Arabidopsis thaliana: one gene and its partners. The protein of the gene in region 1 interacts with the protein of each later gene in a pairwise test. Each region holds a gene or a part of one and is shown on either strand. Other genes may lie near its edges.

Region 1 (6,851 bases):
TCTGAACATTAGACTGAAGTAGAGCTAAAAGATTCAGAATTTAGCAAACTAGCCCCGGAAACAGAGTAAAAGACACAAAATTCAAGCTTCATAACATCAAATCTCAACCAATTCGTTTAAATAGTGTCCGAAATAATGATTTTGGATCCTTAACACGTACATAAAGCAAAAAGGAAAAAATTCCCTCAAAGGTCAAAATCTTCAATGGAAAAAAACAATCATGAAAGCAGAGGCAGAATAAGAAAACTGAAGAACTAAAACCCCTAAGACTATTGAAGAAGAGACTCACCTGAAAAGAACGGATTCTTTGAGCTTAACCCCAAACAAAAGTTGCTCGGAGAAAAAGCGATTTAGAGAAAGATCCGGAAAATTCCAATCTACAACTGCAAAGACGTGGTCTTTGTCTAAAACCCACAACAGATATAGTATCAATCACCAACAAAGGTTACTACTTTTGTATCTTCCTTCTTTGAGGTATTTTTAGTTGTACGATCTTCTTTTTTTTTATTTTGCCGGTCTCTGAAAAAAAACAGGAATGGAAGACGAAACTCAAGTGATGGTGGACCTCTAGATGCTGAGGGTTAAAAAGTCCTCTGAAAATTGCAACACTCTCTTTTTTCTAAAAACAAAATAATTCTTGGTTTTGACAATGACATGTCCCTTTTTTTATTACAAAAAAATCTATCACACTTACTTTGAATGTAAATTCATTTTCATCATCTCTTGGAAGTTTACATTAGAATCCTCACTAAATAAGATTTAAGACACAAGCGATGAAACTACAAAACTCAAATAGAACATCTTAATATTGTTAAATGATTACAGTACAGAAGTTGCAAGGTTAAAACACCTTTACCACACACAAAAGTAACAAAAAAAAACAAAATTCAATAACCTTTCTAAGATAATCGAAGATGCTATATAAACAACATTGAACTTTTCAAATGCTAAATTAAAAACTGATGACTACAACTAAAACAACATGAATTACCACAACCATGTAGAAGAAACCTACATACAAAGAGTCTTTTGTTTCCCAGAAATTTGCTTATTTGTTGATGGATTTGGTAAGAAGAATCTGACAAGTGTTGATTAATAGTCTCTCCTGGTTTTGTGTCCATATGGATTTTGTACAGCTGACATGTGACCAAAATACAGTTTCACTCTCTGGGTCGAGCAAGCCATAAGGAGCTTAGAGCTCGTAGCCGTGAGAAGTAATCGTGTATTGCAAGTAGAGCACGTGCTGACTGTCTCGTTGTTAATACTCTTATCATCTGTTGCAATGTTTGTAGTCTCAAATTATCAGCCTGCCACCACCAACCAAGAGACGATTATTAACCTATTGATATATATATATACTCTTAACTAAGATATCATCTCAAAACATCACAAGTGTTGTACCTGGCGGATAAATCCTTCGAGTGTACCTAACTTTCCCATTGCCATGGCCATCTGACCCATGTAGCTTGCGACATTCCCTGATGAACTTGAACCAAGAGTCCCGCTCGATAAAGTATCAGCTAGTGACTGTTGTAAGCTCTCCATCCCTTGAGACAAAGCATCTTCAGCCTGCTGCGATGTCTGTTGCAGGTTATTTATGCCCATCAACTGTCTCTCTGTCATTGGCTCCAACTGATTCGCCAGAAGCTGTTTCAACACATTTTTCCCTATGACCATTCTTTTTATGTTCTATGTAGAAACAGATGCAATCGGTGAAGACAAAGTGAAATTTGACCTCACCTTTAGAAGTTCGGATGAACGAAATCCACCGAGCCACAAGAAACATCTCTCAGCTGGTGTTTTCCACATGCCAGATAGCAAGTGAAAGACATCATTCTTAGCTGCATTGCTCTTTATCCTGAAAAGCTCCTCATAGTGAGCCATCACACCATCGACTATTATTCGAAGCTCAGAATCACCTGCATGCGCATTCAGAGCAGACCTCAGCTCGTTCATTTGCTTGTTCTTTTCTTCCAACCACCGTGAATGTTCAGCATCAAACGCCAAAGCACCTGAATTAAAAAATTTATACATGATCAAAACAAACCCATGAGATTCGTCATCTTGTAAATCTAAATCTACACCAGTGCTAATTAGAATAACAGTTTTTGCTATCAGAACCATGTCAGTCTGCCACTGACTCTGATAACCCAGTGTATTGTAATGGGATGAGATATGATGTACTAATTGATCAGTCTACACCAAGTCAACAGGAAGTTGATATATGAACTTAACTTATACACAAATTAGAAGCCAAAAAATAAACATAATTAAAACTAATGGAGAATAAGCAACCAACCATTTCCACCAGTAGAATGGGCCTGGTCTCCTGTGCCTGAAATGAAGACGCCCTAGAAACAAGAAATTTACCGTTAGGTATACAGAATAACAAAATAAAAATCAATAGAAATAAGAAACAAATTTGAACCTGCTGTCTTGCTCTTTGCAGCTCCTGCTCAAGCTGGGTTAGTTTCAAGCGGCTGTTCTCTAGCTGCTGAACATAAGCCTATGGAGGGAGCAATTAAAAGGAATTAACGTAGTACCAAATAGCTATGCTTCTAGCGATGCACCAATTTAAAAAGAAAAGAAAAAGTAAAAAAAGATAAAACCAATGGAAGGTAATATACCTTCTTCCTCAATCTGCTTTTCCTTGCTGCCTCACGGTTTTGAGCAAGCCTACGAAGAGTCTATGGATCAAAATATAAGGAAACAAAAAGAGATTATAAATTGGCTGAATAAAAACAGTGATCTTATCTACAGAGATGGACATGTCACCTTTTGATCCATCTTTCCCTTCGATCGGTCACTCGAATCAGAAGCAGCAGTATTCACTAGTGCTCCCTCCGACTGCATTAAAATTAACACCAGAATTTTTGTTTGGTCCATAAAAAATCACACTATTTTGAAGAATATAAGTGATAAAATCTAGCCAGATTATGAGCTAACCCCAAGATCAGGATGATCTGTGTCGTCATCTGTTGAGACATCAGTTCTCGGACTGGTATCAGCCATATTACTTTCTCACCACTTTTCTGTACTAACACTTGATAACAAAGACAATATCCACTTGTGGCCTCTCTTTTAGTAACAACTTCTTGAAATTTCTCTTGTGTGCACAGACTGCCAGGATTCGGAAGGAAATTAAGAAAAAGAAAAAAAGACAGAAAGAACAAAATTAGGTGATAGAATATAAAAGAAAGATCAACACCTACCAATACGAATCAATAGGAAATGAATCAGGAACAAATGTTGGTCACCCGGAGCATTGGCTGCGCTGAATGAGCACAAAAAAAAACAGCATTACATACCATCTCTTTTGCTAACATAGTTTTCAATTATGTCCTATAAAGTCAAGAAAAAGGTTCTCTAGTTTGTTTCAGTTAAACAAGCCAGCTAAAGAATGCTAAAGAGTCCTTTACTTATTCAAAGTGTCCTAAGGGAAATTCTGCTGACTACCATAAGTCACAAAGTCAAATATATAAGAACAATCTGTTTGTAGCTAACAGACTGACAAAAATAGCCCATCAAAAACACAACCTTTAAAGCAATTCATCAAACCCAATCAGACATGTAGCTTGCACAATCTACAAAGTCTGAGAAACTCATTCAGACCTTAAGCTTAGCTCGCGGATCAAAGTCAAAATCAGTGAGACTTAAGGTGTTGGCACAGTCGAAAATGCCTGAGTTTGAAAAATTAGGTACAGTCACACTCACACACATCATTTCAATTCAGTTTGAATGACACTAAAGTAGCTTCAGTAGCTGAATCTCTTAGTTTTGCAACTCTAGCTAGAACAAAAACTATTCAGTATTCACATCCGAGTTGACTCAATTCCTTACTCAGTATTCATATCCGAGTAAAGTAAAAAAAAAAAGCTAAACTCTAAATCTAGAACCAGTGAGAATTCGGCATGAAGCTGCAGCTATGATTTCAAACCAAGAAACTACCACCGAAACAGAATTCAAGAGATTAACATTTAATTCGATGATTTTGGTAGCTCAAAATTAAGAACAAAATCACCAATTAAAAAAAAAAAAAAGCTGAACTCTTTAAGCTTGAGAAAGTCAACTAGGTTTAACTTCAAAAGCAAAAAGACAGAGTTAACAAGTAGCTTCTTAGGACTGTGAAGGAGAAAACTCCCAGAAAAAAAACAAAGGAAGAAAAACCCTAGAAAAAAAGGTTGGCTTGATGAAGAAACTGACCTGGAAAAACGAAATCTTGAAGGTGCACAAGTAAAGGGCTTGATTCGAAATCGGATTGAAACAAAGAAACAGAGAGAGACACGATCCGAAATTCCAATCTCCGAGACGTCGTTTTGTCTACAAATCTACCAGTTCCCCATAGACCCTCGACCAAAATTTAACGGGAAATTTCAAACTAAACCCTATACTCTTTATTTTTACCATTAACCAACCCTACTATCTTATAATTGCAAAACCCACCCCGTATTTTCAACACCTGAAATTCAATTCACTCTCACTCTCACTCTCACTCTCACTCTCACTCTCTCACTACTTCACTCATTCAGCAGATCCTCTTCATTCTCTATTCTTAACTCATTAATGGCTACCAGATTCAAGCACCAGTTTTCAATCTCACTAGCCTTGACATTCTTCTTCTTCTTCACCAAGACCTTCTCTTTCACAGAGAACGAGGAACTTGGTAACCTTCTCAGATTCAAAGCCTCCTTTGATGATCCAAAAGGCTCTCTTTCAGGTTGGTTTAACACTTCTTCTTCGCACCATTGTAACTGGACTGGTATCACATGTACTAGAGCTCCTACTCTTTACGTCTCTTCCATTAACCTTCAAAGTTTGAATCTTTCTGGTGAAATCTCTGACTCCATTTGTGACCTCCCTTACCTCACTCACCTTGACCTCTCCTTGAACTTCTTCAATCAGCCTATCCCACTTCAGTTGTCTCGTTGTGTTACTTTAGAGACTCTTAATCTCAGCTCTAATCTCATCTGGGGCACAATCCCTGATCAGATTTCTGAGTTTAGTTCCTTGAAAGTTATTGACTTTAGCAGTAACCATGTCGAAGGTATGATTCCAGAAGATTTAGGGTTATTGTTTAATCTCCAAGTTCTCAACTTGGGAAGTAATTTGCTCACTGGTATCGTCCCTCCTGCTATTGGGAAGCTAAGTGAGCTTGTTGTTCTTGATTTGTCTGAAAACAGCTATTTGGTTAGTGAGATTCCTTCTTTTCTTGGGAAGCTAGACAAGCTTGAACAGCTTCTGTTGCATAGGTCAGGGTTCCATGGAGAGATTCCTACTTCGTTTGTTGGTTTGACAAGTTTGAGAACCTTGGATCTGAGTTTGAACAACCTGAGTGGTGAGATTCCTCGATCATTAGGCCCTTCTCTCAAGAACTTAGTGTCTCTTGATGTCTCACAGAATAAGTTATCTGGCTCTTTCCCTAGTGGCATTTGCAGTGGTAAAAGGCTTATTAACCTTTCTCTCCACTCGAATTTCTTTGAAGGGTCATTGCCTAACTCCATTGGTGAATGCCTTAGTCTGGAGAGGCTTCAAGTGCAGAACAATGGATTTTCTGGTGAGTTTCCAGTTGTGTTGTGGAAATTACCCAGGATTAAGATTATTAGAGCGGATAATAATCGGTTCACAGGTCAAGTGCCAGAGTCTGTGTCTTTGGCTTCTGCATTGGAGCAAGTTGAGATAGTCAACAATTCCTTTTCTGGTGAAATCCCACATGGTCTTGGATTGGTTAAGAGCTTGTATAAGTTTTCTGCTTCACAAAACCGGTTTAGTGGAGAGTTACCGCCGAATTTTTGCGACTCACCTGTCCTTAGTATTGTAAACATCTCTCACAATAGGCTCTTAGGAAAGATCCCAGAACTGAAAAACTGCAAGAAGCTTGTCTCTTTGTCTCTAGCAGGCAATGCATTCACCGGAGAAATCCCGCCATCACTTGCTGATTTACATGTTCTGACCTATCTTGATCTATCTGATAATAGTCTTACTGGTTTGATCCCTCAAGGCTTACAGAACCTAAAGCTTGCTCTTTTTAACGTGTCATTCAATGGATTATCAGGTGAGGTACCTCACTCTCTGGTCTCCGGGTTACCAGCTTCCTTTCTGCAAGGAAATCCTGAGCTTTGTGGACCCGGTTTACCCAATTCTTGCTCCTCTGATCGGTCTAACTTCCATAAAAAAGGTGGTAAAGCGTTGGTGTTATCTTTGATATGTTTAGCACTTGCTATTGCCACTTTCCTTGCGGTGTTATATCGTTATTCTCGAAAGAAAGTGCAATTCAAGAGTACTTGGCGCTCGGAGTTTTATTATCCCTTCAAGTTAACTGAGCATGAGTTGATGAAAGTGGTGAATGAAAGTTGTCCTTCCGGAAGTGAAGTATACGTTCTCAGTTTATCTAGTGGGGAGTTATTAGCTGTGAAGAAGCTTGTGAATTCTAAGAATATATCCTCGAAATCTCTGAAAGCTCAAGTGAGAACCATAGCAAAGATACGGCATAAGAACATTACTCGAATTCTTGGGTTTTGCTTCAAAGACGAGATGATCTTCTTGATCTATGAATTCACACAAAATGGTAGCTTACATGATATGCTATCGAGAGCTGGCGACCAACTGCCGTGGAGTATTAGGTTGAAGATAGCACTAGGTGTTGCTCAAGCATTGGCTTACATTAGCAAAGACTATGTGCCACACTTACTCCATAGGAACCTAAAATCAGCAAACATTTTCTTGGACAAAGATTTCGAACCCAAGCTCTCTGATTTTGCTCTTGACCATATCGTTGGAGAAACTGCTTTTCAGTCTCTGGTACATGCAAACACCAACTCCTGCTATACTGCACCAGGTAAATATCTAGGACG
Region 2 (6,256 bases), about 16 Mb from region 1:
GACGACATTCTTGTTGAAGTTAGGGTATGTAGAGAATTCCGATGAGATGGTGAGGGCTCTGAAAAAGTTCCAAGGGAGGGGAGATGAGCTACAGGAGAGATTTGATTGCTTTGTGAAGGCTGGTTTGGACTATAATGTGGTTAGCCAGCTTGTTAAGCGGGCGCCTCATATACTTAACCGGCCGAAAGATATCATAGAAAAGAAGATCATTATGCTAATAGATTATTTGGTTTATCCAATAGAATCCGTGATAGAGTCCCCAACATATTTGTGTTATAGTATGAAGAGAATACATCAGAGATTCACAATGTACATTTGGTTGAGGGAAAGAGATGCAGTAATACCGAGGCTGACACTAGGCACTGTTGTCGGTATTTCTAATACCCTTATTGTGCCATACTTTGTCAATACCCACCCGGAAGGTCCAGCTACTTGGGAAAATATAAAGAAAGCATCTACCTGATTAACTGGTCCGTTCAATGATATAACGTTATCTTCAATCTAGTGCAGATGTCTGTTGATCTATAACATTTTCTCATTGCTTAGCTCACAACCAGTGAAACCTGGAAATTCTCAGTGCGATGGAGAGGATCACAGAATATGTCGATGCATAGTGAAGTATTTCCGCCTGTGGATTTGATTGTACCTCTCTACTCATCAGTATAGATATAGATGCCAACAAACGAACAAGGAAGGACTTCGAGAAAGCTGAAAGAACAAAGGCTCTCCGTAATGTTGAAACGCCACTGAACTCAGTGAAGTGAATTTTAGACTGGACTGAACAGAGTGACAAATTGGAAAGGCACAGTCCTTCGTTGGTACAATATTCTTCTATTGCTTTACGATGTTGGAAAGGCACACTTAACATATAATGCAACTTGAAATGCTTTCTTTGTTGAAGAAGACAGATAGACAGTATTGGTCAGACAAGCCCCTGCCCCGACCCTATGCCAAAGAGAGCAGCTAACATCTACTTACTGGGACATACATGTGACAGTTCTGTTCAGAATGCATTATTACAGGTTGTTTGGAAGAATGGTTTTTGTTCTTTACTCTTAGCCACCAGTAGTCTTATCTTCTGTAATTATGTAAAGAGATAGCTATGATTGACAAATGATCATGTTTTTTCCTGACTTTTTGTGGAGTGTCTTTGTTTGTTTAAGTTTCAGGTATCTGAGAATATCTTGTAGATAACCTAAATATTAGATTTTTGTATTGAAAACAAAAGATTGCGTATAGTTAGAACGTTTTGGGTTAATCAGCACTCCTAATCTTGTACATCTATCTATCCATCTCTCTTTATTGAAACTGAACCTAAAGCATCTGTATAAAATCTGAGTAACATCCATAAAGAAAAAACCCTTTTAACAAAGATATCTAATTACATTTGACTTATGGTGCAGTTTCATGTTGTGTTGTGCAGGTCATCTCTTATGGAAGAAGAAGAAGGAGAAGATGAAGCAGAAAGACAAGACCGCGCAATCTTAGACTCTTTGTCTTTGCTATATGCCTTTTGGACATCATCCTTAAGCTCTCTATATCTCATTCTTTTCAATCTTCTTTCATGTGTAGATCCCTTCTCAAAATGGAAATCGTCGAGGATGTCGTCGTCTATATACTCAGCCATGTACTTATCTAGAACCTCTGAACCATATGGAAAAAACCTTCGACCAGTCTCAACTGCATTGTGAAACGGTAATGAAGTCAGTCAAGAGAAAATGAGCAACATAAGAAGATGAAGGGTAGACTTACAGAGAGCAAGCTTTTTGTTACCTGTTTTCATTAGAGCCACCATACGAGTAAGAAGTCTTTGGGTTTGCATATGAGGAGTTTCGTTTAAATCAACCTGACTCAAGTTTCCGGTTAACCCACTCGAAGGAGGTGACAAACCCGTGAACTCACTTGTACCTTCTACGTTACCAATGTCCATAGCAACTTTAGCTTCCGTTGGAAAGAACAACTGAGCAAGCCCCACTGCAAAAAAGGTAGAAGCTTTAACAAAAATGTAGTAAAGATACAGAAGAATTCAGTAATTTTCAGTCAATTACCTCTCTTTTCTAGGTACAACAGTCTCATCTGGAGATCTTCAGGCATAGAAATGGAACACATTGGTGTATCTAGAACCATGGGGTTCTTCCTGATTTCTCTTTCCAAGATATCGATGCATAACCTGGCTTTACTAGATTCACGCCCTTTAGCTGTTTTGGTATGATAATCCTTTGGATTTGTCAGTCTTCTTAATATATTAACTGCGCTACGTCCGTCAGATGTAAACTCAGATGCATTGGCGCCTTTATCGATAAGCGATATAATGATCGATGGCTCTCTACGCATCGCAGCAAAATGAAGAACCGTGTAACCCCGGGAATTCCTGTAGTTCACATCACCCATATCCAGAGCAAGAATCTCGGCAACAACTTTCGGATCACTATACACAACAGAATAATGCAGACCATTGGCTTGATCTAGAGTGATATCTGACTCAGTCAAAAGAAGCTTCACAAGCTCAACATCATCTGAATCCAAGGCCTTGAGAATTTTACCGATTCTTTCAAGCAATTTCTCCGAAATCTTGGGACTGGTTTCTTCGTCTTGCGGGGATATAAGTCGAAGCTGTTTAATCTTCTCTGCTACTTCGGGAGGAACTTCCTTTTCAATACAGAACCTGTAAAGATCTGACCTCGCCACTCTCTCAATACACTGATCAAGAAGCTGAGTCAACTTACAATTGAAAGCAACCATAAGAATGGGAAGAACATTCTCAACAAGGGTCTTCTCCACAAAGTTACAAAGCCGCCGCTGCAAGCACACAAACCTTTTAGTTCTCATTGAGGTCTATGAATTAAGAAACAAAGAGACCGAAGAAAAAAGAAGACTTTTCACACACCTGAAAAGATGAAACTAGCTCAGGCACTTGGAGAACAGAGGAAGCATACATCAATTGAACAACAAAATCAATGGCAGGTCGACAACAATCATGAGAACAAACTGGATCAACACAAGTCGAAACCTCCAATGGAAAAGGCTTTAATCTCCCAGTATATATATAACTCAAGAAATACAAGAAAGCTTCATGAGCAACAGCTCCATAAGGTAACATCTCTCTCAACTGATACTTTGGTTTCTCAGTTTTCGAAATTTTCTTTTCTTTCTTAAACAAATCTTGGAAAAACTTACTTCTTGCAGCTAAAATGCATCTATGAACACCAACTGGAACACCATCAACAATGATCTCTGCATCACTGTAATCACAATCTGAATTACTAAGAAGCTGCTCAAGATTGGAGCTGAGTTTGGTTAGACTAACAACTTCAGGATTAGAAGCTGAGCTTGATGAGAAGTGATTGGACCCAATAGAACCATAAGAGAAATGAGAAGATGTGAAACTCAAAGATGATGATGGCTCAGTCAAAGTAGCCATTTTCTCTTCTTCTTCTTCTTGTAGAATTATCAATCTTGCATGAAGATCAAGAAGATTACACAAGTCTGAAGATCGGTTTCAGATACAAAAGCCCTAAATTTACATTTCTAACAAGGAATCAACCAAACCCAGAACCAAAAGAGGAAAATTTGTACACTTGGGGATTTGAGTTATGAAACTATTACTCTTACACCTCTGATTCAATGTACCACAAAAAAAAGTCAAAAGGAAAGGAAGAAACTTTGGACAAGGAATCAAACAAAATTGGGAGAGAAAATAAACCCTAAGAGAATCTGACACAACCAAGGATATAGAGATTGAGATCTGCACAATCGTAAGAGATAAGATCAAAGAGAAGGCAAAAGAACCAAATTGAGATGTATCAAAGAGATAAAAAGGAAGAGAATTTAGAGGAAAAGTCAAGAAAGAAAGAGAGGTATATAAAGGATAAATGATGATGAAATTGAGAACAAACAGGACACAACAGGTGCAAGTGATGGTGAAAGAAAGAGACAGCTTCAATGTGAAGGAAGATACAGAGGAAACAAGAGAGTTAATATAATAGTTTTTTTTGTAAATTTAATAATATGAATTAATAAGCATTAGAATTAAAAACATGGTCTAATAAAGTGTATAAAGAAAGACTCAAATGAAAGTTGACAAATAGAAAACAAAGACTAGAAAAATCCGTGTATGATGCCAAAGGTTCTCCGTGTATGACGCCACTCACTAACATTTTCCACATCTTTCTCTAATTTAACAAATCTATGGATAAACACATATTTTTTTTCTCATCAAAATCACTATTTTTATTTGACTGCGATATATCACATCATTAATATATTTTTATTTACATCATATTATTCAATAGTTTTAATTTGTTTCTTAGGTGTAAATAACTTGTAATGATATGCCAATTAATGCCGTCACGAAATAGCATTAAGTCAAGAAGATTAATATTAAGAAATAGCCGTCACTATTGATGACGGAAGGAAGTGACGAAAGCAAATACGAACGGCATATGAATGACGTGGCTTGTGTGTGGATTGCTGCAATGTGATGACGTATTAAACAATTACACTTTCGGAATAGTAGATAAATCATAAAGTAATAGTAGAGATTATAATAGGCAATAGCTATGCCTATAGTGGTCCAAATTTTTATTAAATTTATAATTTTGTGATGACCAAAGTCATTCTTTGTGGCCTAGTTCCAAATTTTAAGACATAAATAACGTTTTGAAATGAATTGAATATAGATATGAGGGACGACAATTTTGTCTTGATTTTTTTTTTTAAAACAAGAAGATTCTTGGCTTCGTAACAAAGTGGTGAAGTCTCTTATGCTAGCATTCTAGTCGCGTCGGAAATTCGACTCTACCTACAAGGCTACAAATACAATCGGTGAAATGCGTTAGCTGACTATTAAAAAAAAAAAAACTCTTTAAGGATAGTCGTTGAATAGTTTATTCATCAAATTTTTATATGAAATAAAATTTAATTAGCATTATTTCGATTGGCAATGATTCCTATGATTAAATTTTCGACTTTCGGTAATGCTATCGAATATAGAATTCTAACTATAAATATATATTTTTAACAAAAAATAACATATAAGTGTAAACTTGGATAGTGACAATGCAACGTCACTAATACAAATCATATTAGTATATTACTTTGACTTAAACTATCAAATATACGCTAAGTTTTGGTCACTAGTGACGCTGCGTTACTTTGGTAAACCATATGTTAATTTGTATCTTTCGTTCACTAAGTATCACTAAATCATATATTAAACCATCAACGTCACTAATACAAATCATATTACTATGGCTTAAATCATCAAATATGCGATAAGTTTTGGTCACTAAATAATTATTTTATGTATTACTTTGGCTAAAACCATCAAATATTAACAAGACAAAAAAAAGTTTCCTACCAATTCGTTATTTAGATCAGAAGTTTTAACCCATTCAAATTTACAAATTTCTTACATAAACTAAGTATAACGATGTAACCCATAAAGCCTTGAACTCACACAAGATTGAGGACATATATATTGGTAGTTATTCAAAATTGTTATATCACTTTATGACTCAAAAACGTAATTTGTTTTGTTGATGTCAATGGATTGATTTCTTTTGTTTTCATGTTTTTTTCTTTTTTTGCCATAAGACCAAAAACTTCAGGCTTTACTTCATGAAAATCCTAACACTTTTCATTTTAGTGGAATATTTAAATTCTTAACAAAAAGACAAAAACAAAACTCATACAAGAGATAAATCATTCTAAAGAGGAGTGTAAACTAGTAAAGCGTGACCTAACACAAGAGATAAAAATCATTCTAAGAGGAATTGGAAACGAAACTTAACTTGATGAAACAATTAAAAAGAAAAATAACAAAACAAAAAGAAAACTCTTAAATTTTCCATAAAAATATATAGTCAATGCCGGCTTAACTATAGGGGCCGATAATATAAACTTATAGGGTACATAACTACATATACATAAATTTATAGGGCACAAAAAAAAAAATCTATACAAGATGGACACAATTTGTTTTTTGTATATACTCAAAAGGCACCTAATGTTTTTGTTAAAAGAAGAAGTATATAAAAAAATTATGATATTAAGGAATATATCTTTTAAATTTGTCCCAAAGCATCTAAAATGTATGAACCTGTATATGATGAACTTTTTTATATTTTGGAAGAGAAAACAACCTTGATGACTCATGTAAATGTATTACTGGAAATAAAAATTGAAGCATCGATCCAATGGGGTGGTGTGTCAGTGTCGGTGATGCTTCCTAGTTCCTGCTGAGAAGCTACGCGGA
Region 3 (4,043 bases), on another chromosome or scaffold:
ACAATTCAACTCATTCTGCCATTACTGACCCGATTCGCCTTTCCACCATCAAGGAGCTGCTGTGCAATGTAGTGAGGACAAACAGCGGCTCAAGAGCTGCGAAAACAGTCTTCTCTTGTTCTGATACACACAGGGAGAGACGGTTGCATCAGATCATGTTTGATGATAGGGACTACGAGGGAGTCAAAAGAGCAAGGACATCGGCGTCAAGGCCCAGTGTCACACTAATGAACATTGAGAAGGATTATACCGTTGTTACCATGAGGTCCAAAGATAGACCAAAGCTTGTGTTTGACGTAGTCTGTACTTTGACTGATATGCAGTATGTGGTGTTCCATGGCATGGTCAGCACAGAACCAGTGGAGGCTTATCAGGTAACTACTCAACGGCCGTCTGTTGGGATCTCTCTTCTAACAATAATATGAGTGTTTTGCTGCAGGAATTTTACATCCGTCATGTGGATGGACTTCCCATAAACTCAGAAGCAGAGCAAGAACGTGTCATACAATGTCTGGAAGCAGCCATTGAGAGGAGAGCATCGGAGGTAACCAATTAGGAATGTGAAAATTCTCTGTCTTGGCTCAAATTACATTCTGTTCTGCATCGATTTCTGATATACTCAAGACAGATTGTGCATATGAAACATACTTTCAGGGTTTAGAGCTGGAATTATCAGCAGAAGACCGAGTTGGTCTTCTCTCAGACATAACCAGAACATTCCGAGAGAACAGCTTAACCATTGTGAGAGCAGAGATATCAACGCGAGAGGGTAAGGCTAAAGACACGTTCTACGTTACAGACGTGACTGGAAACCCGGTTGAATCAAAAATCGTGGAGTCAATCAGACAACAGATAGGAGTAAGCAAGCTGAAGGTGAAGAAGAAGGAGAAGGAGCATTGCTCTGTTCTTGGTACAAGCAGGCCTTCGCACGAAACAACTACAATGGGGTATTTGCTAAGTAACATCTTCAAACCCAAGTAGCTTCAAGCTTCACCTATCTCACTCATAGTCATAGAGTGTGTGTGTGCTTTGTATAGGTTAGACAGAGTAGGGCATCATTTAAGCTGATCGTAGCGATCCCCTCTCAACAAGTCCCTTGTGTGTAAATTTGTGTGAACAAAATAACAGGAACTGCCTTTGAATAGATACGGCGTCAGTTAATACCGTTGATTAATGGATCCAGGGGACATTAATAAAGATGCAAAGTGTTTACTATTATGATTTAATGAGAGCATTCGAAAGATCAATAAGAGATGAAGAAGAGGAAGACAGAGAAAGGTGAGCTTAAAACAACTCTCTCTCTAATTACAAACTATAATCTAAAACCTGTCATTACAGCCATTGACTAGTTTCCTAATCTTCCTCCACCACATTCTCTTACAAGAAAACTTCAAATAGAAAAGAAAAAAGAAAGCAGAGGAAGGGATCAGAGCCAGAGAGCGCCGGCGTCTTTGAGAAGAGGAACGAGAGAGCCGTTTATGTGAGAAGCCATGACTCTGTCCATAGCTCCAACCAGTTTACCGCCGATGAAGACGACCGGGAGAGACCCTGGAGAAGAGGAGCCGGAGCAGCCGAGGAGACGAATGAGGGCTCGCTGGATGTCGCCGCCGTAGGGGTGGAGGTCGAGCTCGTGGACGGCGGGGCTGACGCCCATTCCTCTGAAGAGACCCTTCACGGCGTGGCACATGCAGCACGTGCTCACGCTGAAGATCACCACCGCGCTCTCAGAAGCCAGGGACTCTATACGAAGCAGACCAGTGTCAGCCACCATCCCCAAACCGCCGAATCCTAAGCTGCTCATCTTGTATGATCCCCACGATTCTGTCTGGTATTGCATCTTTGATATCTCTTCTCTTTCTCTTGTTACACTTTTGTTTGGAAAGAAACTAGATTAAACACGAATAAGAGAGAAAGAGGGATTGGCTAAAGTTTGTTGGTGAGAAGAGAGTGAGAGCCATGCAGAGTATTTATAGAGGCCTACTACACCTCTGAGTCTAACTCTGTTTTCCTCTAATTATTAGTATTATTGTTTCTTTCTTTATTATTTGTGTATAATAACATGACCTCTATTTACTTCTCCATGAAAAAAAGAAAAAAAGTAACAAAACATATGAATTAAAACCGATGACATCAAGATAGTGATTGCTGTTGAAAACAAACACCGATAATAGTTATCGGAATAATTTCATTTTTTTGTAAAAAAAAAAAAAAAGGCAAGGAGAGTTGAAGAACAGGCTTTTATCAGAAGGGAGTTGTTGGTAATAGACGGCTCCGTCTGTCCTTCTTGTCGGCTCTTACCGCTCTCACCATTAATTTTCTTACCACTTAATTCTCTCTTTTTCTTTCTTTGTATTTTCAGATACATGATCATAAAGTAAGAAACCATAATTTCCACGTAGATAAGCTCCCTCAATCTGTACAATATGGATTTTGGCAGGGTTTTTCTTTTATTCCATTCTACTCTGTAAAATATATAATTCCATACGACCGAGTAATCATCAATCCAGCAAATGTGTAATCATCACATCATAATTTGTTAAGGAGTCAGAATCTTATGTTTCTTATCCAGATTAATAGCATCCTCCTTATATATATAGAAAAAGAATTATGACTCGAGAATTATGATGTGTACATATTTTATAAGAACAGCACCCATGAATTAATTTGGATGGGTTTAATTATAACAATATTAAAATTTGAACAATTTTATATAGAAAAAGCCTTTTTTTTTTTTCTTCAAAGTTTACAAAGTTTGTAGTTTGTGACATGCTTTTGGCTTCCACGCTTGTGTCCTTTATACACGAAATGCCTTTTTTGTGTGTCTCAGGTTTGAGCTCCACAATAAATTAAATCTTAAAATGAGATTTAAAACGAAGGATTGATGGAAGAGAAGATTTTATATGTATATTGAATATAGTAAGAGAAGTCCGTACAGTTATGCTCCCTCTAGCTGAAAAAGAAAGTTACTTCTTTTAGTGTTTAAACTCATGTATTTCTTTTCTGGAAAAAAATCTTTGCATGAGAAATCGTAAAAGATAAATAATCTTGTCGGATTGTGGTTGTCGGATCGCTTTACCTTTGATTTTTGATTTTTTTTTTAAAAATCTAGTTTTCCTGACAGAAGACTTACGTAACACTTGTCATACAATGTTTGATCTGTTCAACCGATTCTCCGATATTAACCCTTTCGAGTAGCGTATGTACATGCTTTTCAATAAGGGTATTTTGAACATTTCTGAAGTTCGTATTCAACGCCTGAAACTTGAAACTTTGAACATTCCTTATTCCTTTGTATATTGATCTAGCTCTTTTCTGTTTTTGGCTTTTTTTTTTATTCTTCAAAGTTTAAATATGTATATACAAGGCTAACATTATACAAAACTTTAAAAATCTTTCGTTTTATGATTATCAATAAAAAGATGATTTTCTTCTTGTAAAAAAAAACATTTTAGAGAGAAAAAGAAAAAAAAAAAAGAGATTTTGATCGATCGGACGGGTAGGGTTAGATGGCAGGAAACGAGAGCCCTCTGGCCTATATTAATTAGTACAACAAAATATATAAATTGATATCAAAATAAAAAATAGAAAGAATACGAGCGTGATGCTATCTTTTCAGCTTTATCTGGTCTTTGCCATTTATAAATATCTGTGTGTATGTCTCTCTTTGCACAATATTAATGTTGTGCTTTGTTATAAATATATCTTCATTTCATATTTTTATATTTTCAAATTTCGTTTTTTTTTTACCTCTTACGGTGAAACAAAGCCGATAGGGAGATGAAAGGTGGGGTTTGAACTAAACCCTAAAATAAGCTTTAGAGAGTTCTATCGTCGAAGTATAATGGTCCGAGTCTGATTCCAACACCTGACCAAGATATGTCCCTACGGGTTATAAAACAATGTATATATTATATATATACAAACAGCTGGCTCATATATATCTGTAATACACTGATACAGAGGAAGGTACATATCTGTGCCTATGTATGCGCGTGGTGTAGCTGTATATGCTATGGAACATGTATATATGTTATAATGTATAT
Region 4 (5,015 bases), on another chromosome or scaffold:
CAGAGGAACTTGCTTCAAAGGAACTAGCTGAGTGGCGACAAGCAAAAGCAGAAGAGATGGCTCAGATGGTTGTTCTGCAGGACACTGAGGTGGATATCAGAAGCCTAGTAAGGAAAACACACAAAGGAGAGTTCCAAGTGGAAGTTGAACCAATGGATAGTGGTTCTGTAGAGGTCTCTGTTGGAATGAGTTCGATTAACTGGTCTCGAACAAAGAATTTTAAGAAGAAAACCCCTTCCATCACGAAAACTCTTGGAGTCAAGAATGAATTGAACAGCTCTAATGAGAGCACTGGGCCAATAAACGGAGTCACAATAGATGATGAGATGCAGGCTGCCACTGGATCTCTTCCTCCAATTGTCTCTCTTGATGAATTCATGTCATCCATAGATTCTGAATCTCCGTCTGGCTTTTTGTCTTCAGATACTGAGAAAAAACCTTCTGTTTCAGATAATAATGATGTAGAGGAGGTTTTAGTTTCATCACCCAAAGAAAGTGCTAATATTGATCTTTGTACATCACCAGTTAAGGCTGAGGCATTGTCACCACTTACGGCTAAGGCATCATCACCTGTTAACGCTGAGGATGCTGACATAGTATCGTCAAAGCCTAGTTCTGATTTGAAATCCAAAACTACATCTGTTTTCATACCTGATGGTGAACGTTTATGGGAAGGTGTGCTCCAGCTGAGTCCTTCTACTGTGAGCTCTGTCATCGGCATTCTAAGAAGGTTTGTAATAAATTGTTTCATGAGTGGTAGCAAACCTATCTCAGTATTTTTTTTTTATTCCACATTTCCAAATTTAGGTTTGCATATATGAATAGCTTTCTTTATTTAGTCTACATGTTACTACTTATCTATACTATTCTAGTGCTTATCAGCTCTATAAAATGTTTTTTTAATGAATATGGCTTCGCTGTTATTGATACCATGTTTACCAACCTGATTTTTACGCTTCACAGTGGCGAAAAGACTACTACAAAAGAGTGGCCTATTTTGCTCGAGATTAAGGGTAGAGTCAGATTAGATGCATTTGAGAAGTTTGTTCGAGAGCTCCCAAATTCCAGGAGTCGTGCTGTAATGGTATTTGTCTACACGTTTACCTCTATCATTAATGTACATGTTTTATATACGCATTCTGTGTTTGAGCCCCTGCAAAAGCTATTAACTGTGACGTTTAACCAAGCTTAAGTAGAAGCATTTAGGAAAGAAGAGGAGAGATTAACGGCCAATACTGATTTGTGAATGATTGAGAAAAATACATTACATCTGTGAATCACAATGGAGATAGATGGACTTACAAAAATATTTTCACCAGAACAATTGCATAGCTTATGTTTCTTGAATAGGCCTCCATATTCCAATAAAACTAAGACCTGTTTGTTCTCGATTCTATATGTATGTGATGAACTCGTTTATCCATCATGGTACTTCTGAAACCTTGCTTTCGTGTTACAGGTTATGTGTTTCGTCTGCAAAGAAGAGTGCTCAAAGACAGAACAAGAGAACATTTCCGAGGTATGAGCGTTGGTAGTTAACCAAGATTCTGTGTATCCAAATAAACGAAAAGATGATTAAAAAAACTTGAGATTTATTTGAATATTAATGATTTATTTGATCAAAACTGAACGCGAATCTGTACAAACTGAAAACCCAAACCGAATTTAAATTGAAACACTCCTAAATATCTGTAGAATGTCTAACTTGGTAACGAAATTTGGGCATTTGGTTTTGTTACTATACAGGTGGTGGATTCATACGCTAAAGATGGGAGGGTGGGTTATGCAGAACCAGCTTCAGGAGTTGAGCTATACCTATGCCCAACCCGTGGGAGAACTGTCGAGATTCTAAACAAGATTGTTCCGAGAAACCAACTCGATTTCTTGAAATCTATAAATGATGATGGTCTTATAGGTGTTGTTGTATGGAGAAGACACACAATTTAAAAAATCACCACTATCTAACAACTCTCACAAGAACCACCGTGAAAAGGGTTCTTCGTTAACCACATATAATACTTCTCGTTACAGTAACATGCTACAGGTCAACAATGACGATGGTGATGATGTGCCACCGGGGTTTGGCCCAATGACCATGGCTCGGGATGAAGATGATGACTTGCCTGAATTTAACTATTTTTCCAGTGGGGATGTTGTCGTGAACCGGACAAGCCGGTCTGTATCTGTAAGAGAGCTTATTCAAAAATATGGAAAATCTGAACCTTTGAGGAACCAAAGTTATAATGATAATGACAATGATATACTACCAGAGTGGCAGCCTCAATCTAACTGGACTCTTGGGGTTACTCATGTAAATGGTGGCTCGATGGTTAGACCATGTAGTGAGTGGTGGTCTCATCAGGATGGCAGAGGAGGATATTAATTGTTTTTTGTTTCACCTTAGCAATTTTGTGTTTGTTATGCATTTTCTGTTGCAGGCAACACTGCTTTCCAAATTTTGTGATTTTCTCTCAACAGTCACCGATATTTGGCACTTTATTAGTAAGATGGGCTTGCGCAGCCCGCTAATATATTGCTCCTTTCTGTAACAAAAAGTACAAAAGTAACAAAATCCACTCCTATCGATTATACTATAAAACAGAAGTGCAGAGAAAATTTCAGTCATGATATTTTTTGACCAGCTCGATTCAGAAATTTGGAAAGACTAGCTTTTTTTTCTCTCGGGTTTCACTTTTTAAAGGTCGTGAAAATTTGGGAATCACTGATCAATTTTGTTAATATGATTTCCTGATTTAGGGTTTCTCTGCATGCCTCTAGAATCAGCAAGTGTAAAGCAATTACCATGGTGACTCCGAAGCAGATCGATTTCTCTTCCTGTGGTGGTGGTGATAACTCCGACGATACCCTCTCCCATCGAGAATCTCCACGGAATCCTTCCTCAAAGCGTGCTGCTGCTTCCTTCGCAGCAGAAGCAGGCGAAGAGACTATGAAGAAGAAAAAGAAGAAGAAGAAGAAGAATTTGGGTCCGCCGTTGATCGTCCGGATCTGGAACGAGGAAGATGAGCTCTCTATCTTAAAGGTATTCTATTCATCTTCTCCGTTACACTTTGATTTGGTTTTGCATTCTGATTTTCTCAAAACCAGATTCGAAATTTCTCAGGGATTAGTTGATTACAGAGCTAAGACAGGATTCAATCCCAAAATTGATTGGGATGCGTTTTACAGTTTCCTCGGAAGTTCTATCGTTGCGAAATTCTCCAAGGAGCAGGTTTTGAGTAAGATCAGGAAGTTGAAAAGGAGATTTCATGTTCATTGGGAGAAAATCAGTGAAGGGAATGATCCGAAATTTACTAGGTCTAGTGATTCTGAAGCCTTTGGATTTTCTTCGATGATTTGGGGACAAGGTGAATTTGGTAATGATGATGGTATGGATAAGGAGATGGTGAAGGAGCACGATGTAAACGGAAATGGCGCAGCTGAAAATGGGACTGCTCGAATAGCACAGGAGAACGAGAGTGGGGAGGAGATGTTAAAGGAGCATGAGGAAACGTTAAATGAGAATGGTGCAGAGGAGATAAGAGACAACGACGAGACTGCTCGGAAAGCACAGCAGCTCGAGAGCGAGAGCGAGGAGGAGATGTTGAAGGAGCATGAGGAACCCTTTAATGAGAATGGTGCAGAGAATATAAGAGACAATAACGGGACTACTCAAATAGCACAGCAGAGCGAGAGCGAGAGTGAGGAGATGTTGAAGGAGCATGAGGAAGTGGCTAATACTGAACTTGTAAATGAGAATGGGGCAGCGAAAACAACAGAGAACGGGACTACTGGTGGAAAAGAGAGACATGATGACGATGATGATGATGAGTTATGCGCTGTGCAGGATGCATTTGAGGCTGTAATGTCGCAAGGTTTAAGTGGTTATCAAAAGAAGTTGCAGCTTGAGAAGCTGATGAACCTTGGAACTGGAAAAAGAAGAGAGTTGAGTGATGAATGGAAAGCGTTATGTGTTGAGGAAAGAAGATTGAATATCAAGAAGCTTAGATTTTCCGCCAAGCTTGCAGAGGCAGCTAATGATAGTTAGATGAAACCAATAAGCCGTTGTAGCATTTGGTGTTAATTAGGTTCTTAGTAAGCCATAAGCTTTAGTCTGTTCAGTGTATATCTTTGGATGTTGTCTTTGTTCTGTTTGGGCAAGTGTTTGTAAGACATTCCAGTTTTAACTGAAGTATCCAGAAGAGCCATCCATGTCCATTGTTGGATATAATAAATTTCATTACTTTCTTGTTGCACCAATCAGTCAATGAAGTGGCAAAACATTTTATATGCATTCCCTAACAAAAGGCATTTACAATGTAATTTTTACATTTTTAACCACTAAAAGGCCAGAAGAAGTGCACAAAGAAAGACTGACCAAATAATAAAATAATTTTTCTTGTCGGTAGTCACCAAAACCATGCTATTCCAAAATGCACTTCCTTTGCAACAAACGGCTTATATCCATATGAATCCGACAGAGGAAGACAAAAGGATTTAGTCTTGTGATGTAGCAGAGTATTCAAAAAGCAAACGTTTGGAAGGTGCAGATTGCAGAAGGACACGCAAGCGGCTCGTGAGCTGGTAAATAAGTGTCCATTGCATTGCCATCTCAGAATCTTTCATCTGTCTTACCACAGAGGCCTGTAGATAAAAGACAGCAAGAACCGTGGAGTGCTTATTTTGGTTAGGTTTTGAAAAAAATGAGGCCATATGGAGAAGAAAGAAGATTTCAATGTTTATGCCTGACCTGAAGACGTTTTCCGAGCTGCACTTCAACTTCCGTTCCAAATGATATGTTGCTCGCCAGAGACTTGAGAGGATCCACAGTTGGATCAACAGAGAGTAAACTTGGGATCTGCGGAGCATACACCAACCTCCATCTCGCCTGACCAAACTCTCCTTTTCCTTCTATCCTTGGCATTATGGTTCCAAGTGTTGCGGTTGCAAGTTTTTTGAAAGCAAGTTGTCCATCTCCTTCTAATATGGATTCTGCTAATTGGCTCTCAAACACCTTT

The links.
Region 2: the proteins of AHBP-1B (region 1) and NPR3 interact in binary tests that used the Arabidopsis thaliana proteins (3 or more experiments, as listed by UniProt).
Region 3: the proteins of AHBP-1B (region 1) and ROXY1 interact in binary tests that used the Arabidopsis thaliana proteins (3 or more experiments, as listed by UniProt).
Region 4: the proteins of AHBP-1B (region 1) and AT2G25650 interact in binary tests that used the Arabidopsis thaliana proteins (3 or more experiments, as listed by UniProt).

The regions. Positions count from the first base shown.
Region 1 is NC_003076.8:2,148,484-2,155,334, reverse strand, and holds AHBP-1B (bZIP transcription factor family protein), read right to left. Parts: upstream 4,496-6,851; 5' UTR 4,204-4,495; exon of another isoform or gene 4,200-4,203; intron 4,027-4,199; exon of another isoform or gene 3,538-4,026; intron 3,275-3,537; 5' UTR 3,213-3,274; exon of another isoform or gene 3,209-3,212; intron 3,121-3,208; 5' UTR 3,013-3,120; coding exon 2,947-3,012; intron 2,848-2,946; coding exon 2,776-2,847; intron 2,688-2,775; coding exon 2,628-2,687; intron 2,507-2,627; coding exon 2,429-2,506; intron 2,352-2,428; coding exon 2,300-2,351; intron 2,013-2,299; coding exon 1,741-2,012; intron 1,648-1,740; coding exon 1,402-1,647; intron 1,308-1,401; coding exon 1,161-1,307; 3' UTR 749-1,160; downstream 1-748. Other genes in the region: AT5G06940 (Leucine-rich repeat receptor-like protein kinase family protein), read left to right, coding at 4,564-6,835.
Region 2 is NC_003076.8:18,226,484-18,232,739, reverse strand, and holds NPR3 (NPR1-like protein 3), read right to left. Parts: upstream 3,973-6,256; 5' UTR 3,422-3,972; coding exon 2,888-3,421; intron 2,800-2,887; coding exon 2,049-2,799; intron 1,975-2,048; coding exon 1,774-1,974; coding exon of another isoform or gene 1,709-1,773; exon of another isoform or gene 1,681-1,708; coding exon 1,406-1,680; 3' UTR 1,162-1,405; downstream 1-1,161. Other genes in the region: AT5G45113 (mitochondrial transcription termination factor-related / mTERF-like protein), read left to right, coding at 1-463. UniProt on the Arabidopsis thaliana protein: Salicylic acid (SA)-binding substrate-specific adapter of an E3 ubiquitin-protein ligase complex (CUL3-RBX1-BTB) which mediates the ubiquitination and subsequent proteasomal degradation of NPR1 in response to SA.
Region 3 is NC_003074.8:331,086-335,128, forward strand, and holds ROXY1 (Thioredoxin superfamily protein), read right to left. Parts: upstream 1,988-4,043; 5' UTR 1,838-1,987; coding exon 1,427-1,837; 3' UTR 1,190-1,426; downstream 1-1,189. Other genes in the region: ACR6 (ACT domain repeat 6), read left to right, coding at 1-374, 440-544, 655-981. UniProt on the Arabidopsis thaliana protein: Has a glutathione-disulfide oxidoreductase activity in the presence of NADPH and glutathione reductase. Reduces low molecular weight disulfides and proteins.
Region 4 is NC_003071.7:10,911,962-10,916,976, forward strand, and holds AT2G25650 (DNA-binding storekeeper protein-related transcriptional regulator), read left to right. Parts: upstream 1-2,549; 5' UTR 2,550-2,803; coding exon 2,804-3,040; intron 3,041-3,121; coding exon 3,122-4,045; 3' UTR 4,046-4,255; downstream 4,256-5,015. Other genes in the region: AT2G25640 (SPOC domain / Transcription elongation factor S-II protein), read left to right, coding at 1-730, 964-1,084, 1,460-1,519, 1,747-1,947; emb2410 (embryo defective 2410), read right to left, coding at 4,495-4,641, 4,748-5,015. UniProt on the Arabidopsis thaliana protein: Probable transcription factor. May play redundant roles with GEBP and GPL2 in cytokinin responses by regulating the transcript levels of type-A ARR response genes. Involved in stress responses.